2 linked regions of the Arabidopsis thaliana genome follow. The protein of the gene in region 1 interacts with the protein of each later gene in a pairwise test. Each region holds a gene or a part of one and is shown on either strand. Other genes may lie near its edges.

Region 1 (7,232 bases):
TTTATACCGGTAAGAACTCAGTCGGACCAGTGCCTGATGAAGAGTATGGCATTGATCAAGAGAAAGCGATTCACATGGTAGGCCACAATCATAGTCACGGTCATGGTGTAGTGCTAGCAACTAAAGATGATGGACAGCTTTTGCGCTACCAAGTCATTGCCATGGTTAGTACATATGAAAATACTACAAAACGGTCTTGAGTTCAAATCATAAATTAATATGTATAACCATACTCAAGCTATTTTTGAATACCATGAATAGGTATTGGAGGTTGGCATTTTATTTCATTCTGTGGTCATTGGACTATCTCTAGGAGCAACTAATGATTCATGTACCATTAAAGGACTCATCATAGCTCTTTGCTTCCATCACTTGTTCGAAGGCATAGGTCTTGGTGGCTGCATCCTCCAGGTACGAATATACATTCATACTATATAGTTTATGTCTCTTATATCAATTAGAAATTTACGTTCATATGTATATAATTTATGTTAACAGGCAGATTTTACAAATGTGAAGAAGTTCTTGATGGCATTCTTTTTCACTGGAACAACACCTTGTGGTATCTTTCTTGGAATCGCATTGTCGAGTATCTATAGAGATAACAGTCCAACCGCGTTGATTACGATTGGACTGTTAAATGCTTGCTCGGCCGGAATGCTCATCTACATGGCCCTCGTCGACCTTCTAGCTACCGAGTTCATGGGGTCAATGCTCCAAGGTAGCATCAAACTTCAGATCAAGTGCTTCACGGCGGCTTTGCTTGGCTGCGCCGTAATGTCGGTCGTCGCCGTGTGGGCTTAAACACTCTTTCAACATAATCAATAAATTATTTGATTTATTATTCAAGGCGACAAATACTTTCGCCTTTGTATATTTGAGTTTTTGTTTTTAAGTTTGATTCATTTATTAGTTTGTATAGTGCATGTAAGCGTTTGAAAGAAATTTCTTTTTATGACATTGTAAATTTATTTTTATGAATGCGATGTTTACTTTCTTCTTTGGAATGACATGTATTTAATTATTGGAGTTTGTTGATTGTCAATGTTAGTTAGAAAAAATTAGGTCCGAAATACTAGTGACACGGAAATTAAAGCTATATGAATTAATACTATCAATTATATTTAAAATTACTCTCTTCAAGAAAATGTACATACAGTCTCTTGTTTTAATAAAGAAAAATTTCTTACTTTGGTTAGATTTAAATTACACAATATTTCATGACAACTATTTAACCATAAAAACTCGATAATGTACTATATCTAACACATAATTTGTAGGTGTGAATGGCTTAAGCTAAAAAGCTTATAAATTCTATGTATTTCATTCCATTTCATGGTTTTTTGGTTGAAAACTTTAAGTACAATAACAGACTTACTAACTAATTTGTAAATTTCCACACATGTTTTGATTCCATACACCTGGAATCATATCAAATACTTGTAAATTCTGAACCTATTGAAACAAGTTGAACCATTTCTTTCTAAAGATTAAATGCATTATCTTGAAGTATAAGTTCTTAGAACATACTATTAAATAACTTTGAATAGTCTTCAATTTTACTAATGCCTTAATCAAGTTTTGAAATTATCTTTTTCAAATCATACACACTTCATCCTGACAATTGTAAATGTTTATAGTTTTTAGAATAATTTTTACTATTTTTTTTAATTTGTGTCAATATCTGATTTGGTTTGATTCTAGACTTCGTTTGTTTTCTCAAATTGTGCAAGTAAAAAACACGAATATATCTATTTTTTATTTTATGTTCAGAAAAAAAAAAATATATATATATATATATATTCGTGTTTTTTACTTGCGCAATTTGAGAAAACAAACGAAGTCTACAATTAAGCGAAATCACACATTGACACAAATTAAAAAATATTTCTTTTCTCGACCGAAAAAAGAAAATTATTTCACCAATATGGAAAATCTCCCCAAGTTCATTCTATTTTCTGTATCAAAGTTAACGAATAGACATATAAGCATTTTGTCACGTCGGTGGAGTATGAGTTTGGCACGTTTTGTTTCGTGCTCGTCCAACCATATGAAAACGTGGGAGGTAAACCACTCAACTAATAATATTATACCTTTAAAAAAACTATATTATAAATCCAGTTTGATGCTTATTTTATTAATCATTCTTCAAAGAAATAAAACTTAAATAGTGAAAATTATAACCGAAGTTGACTAGTTAGGAGGCATGCCATGGAATATTGGATACATACTCGGCATGGACAGTATTGAATATACAGGATAATGTAGATAACTATATTTTCTATAATTTATTTTGTGTCAACTATTTTTTCTATGATTCTGATGATTAATTGCATGACAATCAATCAAATTAATTATGCCTTCTTCTATATAACCATGCAAAACCAAAAAAAAAAAGATTATTTCGAAACGACATGAGAATCAAAAGAACTCATAAATCCTAATAGACATGAAATTATGTATACAGTTATAACATTGAAATATCTTAATACCTTACCTAAAAGATAACTAGATTAATAACCATAAAACCAATAATCATTAAGTCAATAACCCCATAATCTTATAAATGAAGTCAGTGACTATATGTTCATGTAAAAATGCGTAAGTTCATAGCTAGATGTCCCTTTTTTAGGAGCACATGGATTGACACATTAAACATTCATACCCGATTTCATGGAATTCTATTTGTCATTATCCTTTCCCAAAAACTTAGTTGTTTCTTAGTTATTAAACCTTGAAAAAAAATCAATTCAAAAATGAAAAATGACTTATATGTATGTCATTTTTGAAAACTAGACATCAAGCTATGAAAAGAGGAATCTATTTACCGAATAAAGGAGGAGGAATCTACATTCATATGTAGTGTTTTTGGTGACTGGATTGCAACCATACACTGAGCACAAGCTGTCACGTGTGATGTTGTGCTCGTAGCATAAACTATAAAGTATAAACCTAATTAAGCTTAAAGTTAAAAATAGTACAAGATTAAAAAGTAAACGTTTGTGAGAGTTGACTAACAGAACTATAGAAGACGCATGGGGTTGACTTCAAGCGGTCTGCAAACGGCATGAACAATGCATTCAAACGATAATATAAACCTTAATTCCAATATAGCCTTTTTCAAATTTAAAAACTCGAATGTTTACGAAACTATAACTTGATAAAACTGATTGAAATAAAATGTACTTACATTTTTTTAATAAAATATACTTAAATTTTTTAAATAAAATATACTTTAAAATATACTTAATTTTTTAAAATCATACTATGGATTTTAAACAAAATAAATTGTCACTGAGTCATATTTCTTTGGATAAAAGAACTTTACATAAGTGATTGGTACAATATAATAATATGCAAATTTAAGACATTTTATTAAGTTTATATTATCGTTTAAATGCATTTTCTATCAACTTAATAAAATCTAGCTAGGTACTTTCATAATTCTATCATTATTCCTTTTGAACGATTAATTACTTTATTTTCTCGTTTCACACTGGAAGCAAACGAGTAATCAAATAAAATTTCGTCATCATCGACAATAAATGGCATGAAAACAACCAGCACACATTACTATATAAACCGATTCATCTAGTAAGTCCAAAGTCACACAAACATTAAACAATCTAAACACACAACAATCCAAAAGAAAAAAGAAAAAAAAAAAAAATGGCTTCAAATTCAGCACTTCTCATGAAAACAATCTTCCTCGTACTCATTTTTGTCTCTTTTGCAATCTCTCCAGCAACTTCAACTGCGCCGGAAGAATGTGGAAGCGAGTCAGCGAACCCGTGCGTCAACAAAGCTAAAGCTTTGCCTCTCAAAGTCATAGCAATCTTCGTAATCCTCATTGCAAGCATGATTGGTGTTGGAGCTCCTCTCTTTAGCCGTAACGTTTCGTTCCTCCAACCAGACGGAAACATCTTCACTATCATTAAGTGTTTCGCCTCCGGGATCATCCTTGGAACCGGTTTTATGCACGTTTTACCTGATTCTTTCGAAATGTTGTCATCTATATGTCTTGAAGAGAACCCGTGGCATAAATTTCCTTTCTCCGGATTTCTCGCTATGTTATCGGGTCTAATCACTCTAGCCATTGACTCCATGGCCACGAGCCTATACACCAGCAAGAACGCAGTTGGTATCATGCCCCATGGTCATGGTCATGGTCACGGCCCCGCAAATGATGTTACCTTACCAATAAAAGAAGATGATTCGTCAAATGCACAGCTCTTGCGATACCGAGTCATTGCCATGGTTCGTACGCACATATATACATACCGAATATCATTGTATTTTAAATGACATATTACCGAATACATAGGTATATCTAACTTTCTACGGATATATAGGTCTTGGAACTTGGGATCATAGTTCACTCGGTGGTCATTGGATTATCTCTAGGAGCAACTAGTGACACTTGCACCATTAAAGGACTTATAGCAGCTCTTTGCTTCCATCAAATGTTCGAAGGCATGGGTCTTGGCGGTTGTATCCTCCAGGTAAATATACTTTAGATAAAAGAAAAAAAATTATCTTTAGCCAAATGTTGAAATTGTATATACAAATATGAAACATCTAATGTTTAAGATAATTTCAGGCTGAGTATACAAATATGAAGAAATTTGTTATGGCGTTCTTTTTCGCGGTAACAACACCATTCGGAATAGCGTTAGGGATCGCTCTATCAACTGTTTACCAAGATAATAGCCCAAAAGCTTTGATCACGGTTGGACTTCTAAATGCATGCTCCGCTGGATTGCTCATTTACATGGCACTCGTGGATCTTCTAGCTGCGGAGTTCATGGGACCTAAGCTTCAAGGTAGCATCAAAATGCAGTTCAAGTGTTTAATCGCGGCTCTTCTCGGGTGCGGTGGAATGTCGATTATCGCCAAATGGGCTTAACTAATACTCCAGATATTGCGGAATTGAAATCATGTGGATTTCATTATCGAACTAAAACCGTTTTAGGTTTACGTCTCGATTCTCTATCGGTTTTTTATCTTCTCTTACAAAAGATTTGCGTGGATCTATCACATTTTAAGGAACATGTCTTTTGGTAGATATGTAAATGTGATAGGCCCCACGATTCATAGTTTTCTTTTGTATCTTCCTTTATTTTGTCAAGGCAGTATAGTTCATATCGTGTAATGTTTTTGCATCTCATATAAATAAATAAAACTTTTGCTGCTTTTTCAAGATAAGTAAATTAAAGAAAAATATATATTATTTTACTTTGTAATCTATATTCGACAAATCTAAATACCAATAATTGGAACTTTAATCACAATCACGTAGTCTATAAATATACTTACTAGCTTGGCAATATTGTCAATCACTTGCATATCGTCCCATACTGCTTTAAATCTCAAATTTATTTTTGAGTATTACTAGGCATTGATATCCTTGTAGTTGATTTAAGTATATAATTTAAACAAGTTCTCTAACCGGGTTCTGTTGATAAAATCAATATGTCTACCAATTGAACCAATACCAATAAATTTTAGTCTTCGCTTGAAACTAAAGTCAAAGTTCGAACAAACAAAATCAGATACATAGTCGAAGTTTATAAACTTTATATGCAGATTCAGTCGATTTCCAAAAGCGCTGGTTTTACTTGGAAAATGTATATCTATCGACCCATTTATGAAGGCTCACTTGATTTGGGTACGGGCATTACTTTCAGCCCAATTATGTGTCCTTCTAACAAAAAACTTATCTCCACTCACCTAACTCTATCTTATTAGTGAGAAGGCATCCTACATTGAGATAACAGCTCGGATTGGTGAAGAGAAGAACCAAACTCGAGCTGTGATCTCAATGTAGGATGCCTTCTCACTAATATATCTCTCTATTTAATCTATGTATCTGTTTTACATTGGTCACTAAACTATGTAACGTACCATTTTCATATAAATATGGTTCTCGTGAACCATATTGTCGCTTCTCCAATTATAACATTTCCATGCTCTGGATTGAATCACATAGGACATGAACATAAGCCTCTTGTACATTGATGTTCCTCTTTCTTAATTTGTCATCCTCTTCATGACTATGAGTATGATCATGACCATTGAAGGAAGTGAAGAAAATACATCATTCATCAGTGAAGCAGTATGTTTATAGCTTAGTTATAAGCATTTTAGAGTCTCAAAACTTCACAATATTGTGCTTTAACTTTAACATTTTCCAAATTTATGCTGTAATATATGTATCGTTTTTGGGTGACCTACATCTCGAAAAATATTGAAGTTTAACTGTAGATTCACTTTAATTTTACTTGGTTATCTCATTCTTCTTCTAATGGAGTTACTTAGCCCCCATTCCCCAACATGGTCACCTCATTTAGGTTAATTTATAAAGTTTGAGGTGTCACAATATGAATGGATTTACATAATTCAGTATTCTTTTAATTAAGATGCTGGTGGGATAAAGAGGAACAATATTATCAAGGCTGATTTGTTCATACTTCATACTCATGCAGTCATATAGCTAGGATATTTCCATGGCTCTTCTCACTGTTTTCTTTTGTAGGATATTTTCTCTGACTTATGTTTTCGTCAAAATGTAGGTTTACGGTAGAAAAGTCCTATCAAAATTTCCGTTCTAAGAGTTGTAAGATTTCATCATTTGCATGATTTTTTTTGTAGTGTGCTAGTTCATAAACAAAACCAAAATCCAACAAATTATAGCCACTCTTTATGTACCGTTACATTTTCATCCAAATCCAACTAAATGTTTTGATAAACTCAAACTAAAATATCTATTATTATTGTTATTGACTTGTTTCTAATCTAAATTTGATTTGGGAAAATAAATAAGATACTGGATTGAGACATGGTAATCGTTTCTTGGACGCGTTCATTGTAACTCGTGAATTCATCACATCGTCGTATTCATCGTTTTGTCTATACATGCAACGCACATGATATGACCCAATCTAATATATTTATTGCACGACAACAATAATGACTATGCAATATTTTTAGTCGGATGGAGAAATATGATTCTTTTTTATTCATATATCTTGTGGACGGTTGGAATACACGTAAGATGCTTCTGTTTTCAAACCCCTCTCGAGAGTTCGAATGTCATGTAATAATAGTTACATATAAAGTACTGCCAAAATTAACAAATCTTTACTATGAAAGTAGGACTTTCATTAAAATTCAATAATTCTTTCCAAAAATATTTTGCAAAATGAATGGAGCATGAGGAAGGGCCAAGGAAG
Region 2 (6,175 bases), on another chromosome or scaffold:
ACATTTTCTTTCCGACTTGTTCCAAAAAGCCAGTCATCGCTGCTGCTATCATCTTCCTCCAAGGAAATACAGGGAGGAACTAATTCATCAAACAATGAATTGTACCGGGATTCTTTGCTAGGCTTATGTTTCTTTCTCTTCTTTGATTCGGAAATAATTGCTACCTTGCCACTCTCAAGAGAAGTTGAGGGTACAGCCACATCATGATCACAGATACTTGGAAGAGAGACAGAACTTGGTAATTCGCTAGGTCTCTGAGTCCCTGAAGTGGAACAAACAGGATCCTCTTGAGGTACAGCTTCAGCTTCTTTCGGTTTCTTGAAAACAATACGAATCCGTAGTGGTTTACCAGCTACAGGTGTAGCTGCAAATGATTAAACGTCTCTGTTTCAGTATATGTATTCAAACACAATAAAGATATTCATCTAATCCGGGAAGAAACAAAGCACAAACCTTTGATTTGACTCTCAACAACAGCAGGAGAAGTTTCCCTTCTTCTCTTCTTACTGTTCTGGCTACCATCAGACAAATATCCAACCTGAGGTTGCTCAAATTCTTCTGTTAAACAAGATTTCTCAAGCTGTTCGGATTCATATGAGACTGTCTTGGTTGTGGAATACTTCTGTTCAAGGGATTTCTTCTCTTTCTTTAATTTCTTTTCTTTCTTTTTCTCCTTCTTCTCTTTCCGATGCAGCTTTTTAGAATCAACTATTGGTCTTTCGATCTTTATAATCCAATCAGAATAAAGGATTTAGACTAGAGGAAGGATTTATCAGGCAAACAACCAGATACCCATATACGTGGGTAACATCATTCAACCACAAACACACATAATGTTAATTACTCAAAACATATATCTACAACGCGTCTTTATGGTTGACTTTATAATTGGAGACCAAACCAAACTAACATACATGTCTACACGACATCGTTAAGAACGAAATTCATTATGCTAAAACATGTATAGTGTAGATTCAATTCATAGATCTATGCTGAAGATATTTTCCTACAATTTAACCAATCAATAACTTATATGCAACCTAGAGATCTGGCTACAAAGAGGATATTATAAGGAAATTTAACTCTGACCGAACACAGAAACCCATGTTCAGACAAGAGGACACCGTAGCGAATCAATCACAAGAATTGAGTGCTCGACGAACCTTAGTCCATTCGACCAAGTTTTGACCGTTCGCCCAGTTCCTCGCATACACAGGCGGTGGGGATGTGAAATATCGTGACATCGTTTTTTCTTCTTCTCTTTCTTTCTTTCTCAGATCGAATCGACTAACGGACAAGACAACGGACAGTAATTCGGACAGAACTAAATCGAACCTAGGTTTCAGATTCGCGCCTAATGAAACTTCTTCTTTGTGGCGCGAAATCAAAACGAAATCGATAACGAGAGACGGAAGAGAGAAGAACCCTAATTTTTTTTTTCGATTCGATTTTGTTAATCGATGAGAGAGAGAGAAAGAAGAAAAAAACCAATTGCGGTTGAGAAAATAATGGTGAAGGGTAAGGTTCTATTTAAAGACGCGTGAAACACTCAGATCCGCCGACTCGGGCTATACTTACGTTTTTGGAAAGAATAATGTGAAAACCCTAATTTGTAAGGGCTATTCCGTCAATTAGTCGTTATCATCTCCGTGAAGCTCGGTCCGAGTTTGCTACGTCATCTGAAATACCCTTTTTATCCTTTGCGTCTTTCTTACTCCAAACTTTATTATTGGGCTTAACAAAAACTACAAAAGCCCAAAACCCAATGTTAATACGAGGAGAATAATTAATTTTAATTGACTTTGTGATTAATGGGTCTCTTGTCCGACTTGGTTCCTTACGCTTGCATAGAAAAACAGCTACAATTATCTGTGGGCATCACGCGTTAAAAAACCATCTCTTACTTCTAATCAACGGTTCATTATACCGCCACGTGTATTATTATTAAATATACAAAAAAGTTCGCGGCACAGACAATCCTTCCCTCACCAAATATTCCCTTGACTCTCTCGATCTATCTTTCATCTTCATCTTCGTCATCGTTTCCAATTTCCGATATAATCTGATCAAATCATCGCCGACGATCACCGATTCAGCGATGCAACAGGGAGATTACAATTCGTACTATCACCACCAATACTCTCAATTTCAAAATCCTACTCCGAATCCTAATCCTAATCCCAATCCTTCTCCGCCGGCGCCGGCAACCGTAGCTGGTCCGACCGATCTTACTCGAAACACGTACGCATCAGCGCCACCGTTCACCGGCGGTTACGGTTCCGCCGATTACTCTAACTATTCACAGAATTACACTCCTTACGGGCAAAACTCTGAGCATGTCCCTCCTTCAGCTCCTTCCTTCACTTCACCATCACAACCTCCTCCTTCTCCGCCGGCGACATCACTAAACCCTAATTCTTATTCAACCTTCAACCAACCACCACCTCCACCCACGATTCATCCACAACCTCTATCCTCTTATGGATCATTTGATTCTACTGCTCCGTATCAGCAACCTACCTCGCAACATATGTATTACTCACCGTATGATCAGCATCAAACCTCTGGCTATTCATCTGCGCCTCCTCCTTCATCTGCGCCTGCGCCGAATCCTAATCCCGCGCCTTATTCATCATCCTTGTACTCTGCACCTCCTTATAGTAGCGGAGGATCATCCATACCTCCTTCGTATGAGAAACCGTCAGTGAAATTTGATCAATCTGGTTATGACGGTTATAACCGGAGCAGATCGGATTTAGGATCTGATCTATACGGAAAACGATCTGATAGCGGAGAATATCCTGCTTTTGAAGATTCCTATGGCGATGGCGTTTATGCTTATCAAGGAGGCAAAGTTGAGCCATACGGTTCTCGTGGAACTGCGCCGAAATCATCGAATTCAACATTGTTCGATGATTATGGACGATCCATTAGCTTTTCTTCTTCAGGGAGAGATTCTTCTGTTAGCTCGAATTCTGCTAAGATCGTGAGAGCTGTTCCTAAGGCTGATGTGCAGGAAGATTCCACTGGTGGTGTGCAGAAATTTCGTGTCAAATTGTTGGCTGAGACTTATGGACAAACCACAACAGATGTTCTTTGTCAGGTAATGTCCCCAATTCAATTTGAACTTTGTGTTACCTAAACTAGTTTTAGTGAATTGGTTTTGTGCTAGCAGATTGGTTTGGATGGTCTTCGTATGCTTGATCCAAGTACTAGCCGAACTTTGAGAATATATCCTCTTGAGAACATCACAAGATGCGAAGTAAGAGATTATCTACCTTCTTCTTATGACTGAATTTGTTCCATTTTTGTGACTGGAGGTCTTATCTATTGTTGTAAATGTCTTTCTATCAGAAACTAGATTCGTCTATTCTGGCTTTCTGGTCTAAGACTCCGGTAGACATTGAAGCTAAACGTATCAGATTGCAATCAAATAGTTACACCACCAACACCCTTCTGGACACTGTGACGGCTGCAATGTTTCAGGTTCATAAAATTTACAAATTTTGTTTCATTAAAAGTCTATATGTCAATTCCATCATGATTTCTTTTGACTAATCCAATGTTCTTATGTTGGTGGGTTTTAGGCCAAGGAGATCGGGGGAAGTAGCAGGCCTCCCACCTCTGGAAAACTGATTGAACAAACTGCTGAGAAGAAAAAAGGATTGGGTGATTGGATGAACATTATAAAGCCTGTTAATGAGGAGAAAGATCATTGGGTAGGTTTTTTTTTTTTTGGAAGAAAAACACATTTCTCTTGTAGTCAAAGTAAAAGGGCTAGGGTAGTTTTGGTGATTAGTTACATCACTTGATTCTTATTTTCTTGCTTAGCTGTGGTATGTTGTTCTCATTCCATGTTATTTTTGGCTTTAGGTACCTGATGAAGCTGTTTCTAAGTGCACATCATGTGGTTCAGATTTCGGTGCATTTATACGAAGGGTATTATTTTCCCCGATCTAACAATCTGAATTAAATTTTTGGCCATGTTGGGACTATCAAACCTTATGGATTTTTTATTTTCTAGCACCACTGCAGGAATTGTGGTGACGTCTTCTGTGACAAGTGTACTCAAGGCAGGATTGCTCTCACTGCTGAGGATAATGCTCCTCAAGTCCGTGTTTGTGACCGGTGCATGGTATGCTTATCTGTCTGTTTATTTTTCCTTAAGTTGAGAAATCATGTTCCGTTGATTCCTGAGAATGTAGCTTTAAGTTAATTTGAACTGGTATCTTGTCTTTTATGCGTATGCCTCTAAGTTCAATCTGTTTCTGGATGTGCAGGCAGAAGTGTCACAAAGGTTGAGTAATGCCAAGGAAACCACTGGCAGGAATGTGAGCCTGCAGAGCCATGAAGACCTTGCTAGAAAGTTACAGGTGAGCTAATCGTCCTTGGTTCTTTATTAAGTTTAATGATTTACAAGTTGAGTTAATATCTTGGGCAAAGTATATAATTGTTTTCTGATGGCGGATATGTTTGATACAGGAGGAAATGGAGAGAAACCGCAAGTCTTCGTCTGGTAATTTTTCATATCTAATATACTTATGTTTATGATATATTGTTTCTGGTATTTTATGGTTGCTGACAATGATAGCTATGATTCTAACAGGTTTGAGGGAAGGATCTGGGAGGCGGATGAAAGAAGTAGCTTGTCCAACATGCACTGTGCACTTACAGGTTAGATCCTTTGATAGCATGTCTTTCGTTGTATGATTTTGGGACCCAATTTTTTCTAGAATAAGGAAAACAGGGAGGTCCTCATAATCACTTGTGTCAGTGTGTATGATCATCTTGCAAACTACATTGACGAAATAGAATAGCTAGAGAAATGTTTATGTCTTACGTGAGACCTCTAGTATTAAACAGTTACATATGGTCGATGTGATTTTCTATTAAGATTGGATCATGGAGATTGTCGCTTAATCATCTGAATAAATAGTTAAAGCAAGTTGATAGATAACTCGAGGCAGATTGGAATTTGAAGTTGGCTTGTTTGTAGTGTCTCTTGATAGTATGCGTTTATGAGAGCATTGCCATTTAAATTGCAGGTCCAGGTTCCAGTCTCAGGATCAGAGACCATTGAGTGCGGAGTTTGCCAAAACCCTTTCCTCGTTAGCGCACATTGATCTTCCTACCCGCTTTTTTGCTTGACATATATATCAATTATAAGTATGAGATTTGGTTCATTTGGTTATTGAATTGGGTTTGATCACATCAAAATAAGTTCTTGTCCTGTCTCATGTGGATGGTGTTTCCCCTTTGTGTGTATATGAAAGTCTTTTGAGTGATGAACATCTTATACTTTTCATGTAGTCTGTTGTCCTACTGATGTCTGATTGGTTAATTTACTGTATCAGTCCTCCAATGTCATTACTCCTGCTTCAATTTCTCTGACCACTCACATGTAGTCCAATCGGTTCGTTGTTCATTATGTATTTTACTACCATTAGGTCCAAACACTTGAAACGTTATGTTATACTGCGCCTGGAACCGAAACAGAGCGGTTTCAAGTTGACCTGGTCTTCTTCCATGGTAATTGCAAATCCTCTGATTCGAATCAATGAATGCTACAATGGTGTAAAATACTGTGCTACAATGGTGTACCAAATTTTTAAGCTTTCCTTTCATATTCAATTGATTCAATTAGGTTAAGTATCATAAAACGCTTTAATATTCTTGTCCACACTTGTTCTTTCTCGAGGGTCGAGGCTGTGTTTATTCGAGTTGTTTTTGGAAAATCATCTCGTATTTTTTTTCTTTTGAGAGAATAGTGTAGAAACTGTGGTCTTATAGTTTTAGAGGGTAATACGAAAATGAGAGTGCGATTAGTAATGGATAACTGAATTTAAGAAAAGTTCAAAGTGTGTGAATGAGAAGGAGTCGTAAGAGACAAGCATCTTCTTCTTATAACCATCTAAACCACATGCTTATGTCCACTTTTTTTCTTTCTTTCTGAGTGAAAAACACTTTAGTCTCCCACTCTTTATATTTTGTAGCTTCACAGCAAAAATTCTCTTTTACTTATCAGACAGATAAGATCATATAGCAAATATGTTGCAAGATAGAGTTTCTGGTTCTTTGTCTAGTTCGAAAATATCTCGATGTGTTTTGTTTCTCTCACTCTTTTGTTTCTTCCTCTTGACGATGCATGCTTCAGCAAACCGCTTACAGCGAGTTC

What was found.
Region 2: the proteins of IRT1 (region 1) and AT1G20110 interact in a two-hybrid assay, tested with the Arabidopsis thaliana proteins (one study listed by BioGRID).

The regions. Positions count from the first base shown.
Region 1 is NC_003075.7:10,703,818-10,711,049, forward strand, and holds IRT1 (iron-regulated transporter 1), read left to right. Parts: upstream 1-3,526; 5' UTR 3,527-3,669; coding exon 3,670-4,257; coding exon of another isoform or gene 4,258-4,305; exon of another isoform or gene 4,306-4,342; intron 4,343-4,352; coding exon 4,353-4,502; intron 4,503-4,600; coding exon 4,601-4,906; 3' UTR 4,907-5,198; downstream 5,199-7,232. Other genes in the region: IRT2 (iron regulated transporter 2), read left to right, coding at 1-164, 262-411, 499-804. UniProt on the Arabidopsis thaliana protein: High-affinity iron transporter that plays a key role in the uptake of iron from the rhizosphere across the plasma membrane in the root epidermal layer. Acts as the principal regulator of iron homeostasis in planta.
Region 2 is NC_003070.9:6,969,456-6,975,630, forward strand, and holds AT1G20110 (RING/FYVE/PHD zinc finger superfamily protein), read left to right. Parts: upstream 1-1,968; 5' UTR 1,969-2,098; coding exon 2,099-3,103; intron 3,104-3,175; coding exon 3,176-3,262; intron 3,263-3,354; coding exon 3,355-3,486; intron 3,487-3,587; coding exon 3,588-3,719; intron 3,720-3,873; coding exon 3,874-3,939; intron 3,940-4,024; coding exon 4,025-4,135; intron 4,136-4,280; coding exon 4,281-4,373; intron 4,374-4,482; coding exon 4,483-4,516; intron 4,517-4,606; coding exon 4,607-4,674; intron 4,675-5,045; coding exon 5,046-5,123; 3' UTR 5,124-5,675; downstream 5,676-6,175. Other genes in the region: AT1G20100 (DNA ligase-like protein), read right to left, coding at 1-364, 454-724, 1,164-1,244; AT1G20120 (GDSL-like Lipase/Acylhydrolase superfamily protein), read left to right, coding at 6,049-6,175. UniProt on the Arabidopsis thaliana protein: Endosomal sorting complex required for transport (ESCRT) component regulating multivesicular body (MVB) protein sorting and plant growth. Required for the formation of intra-luminal vesicles (ILVs)in MVBs.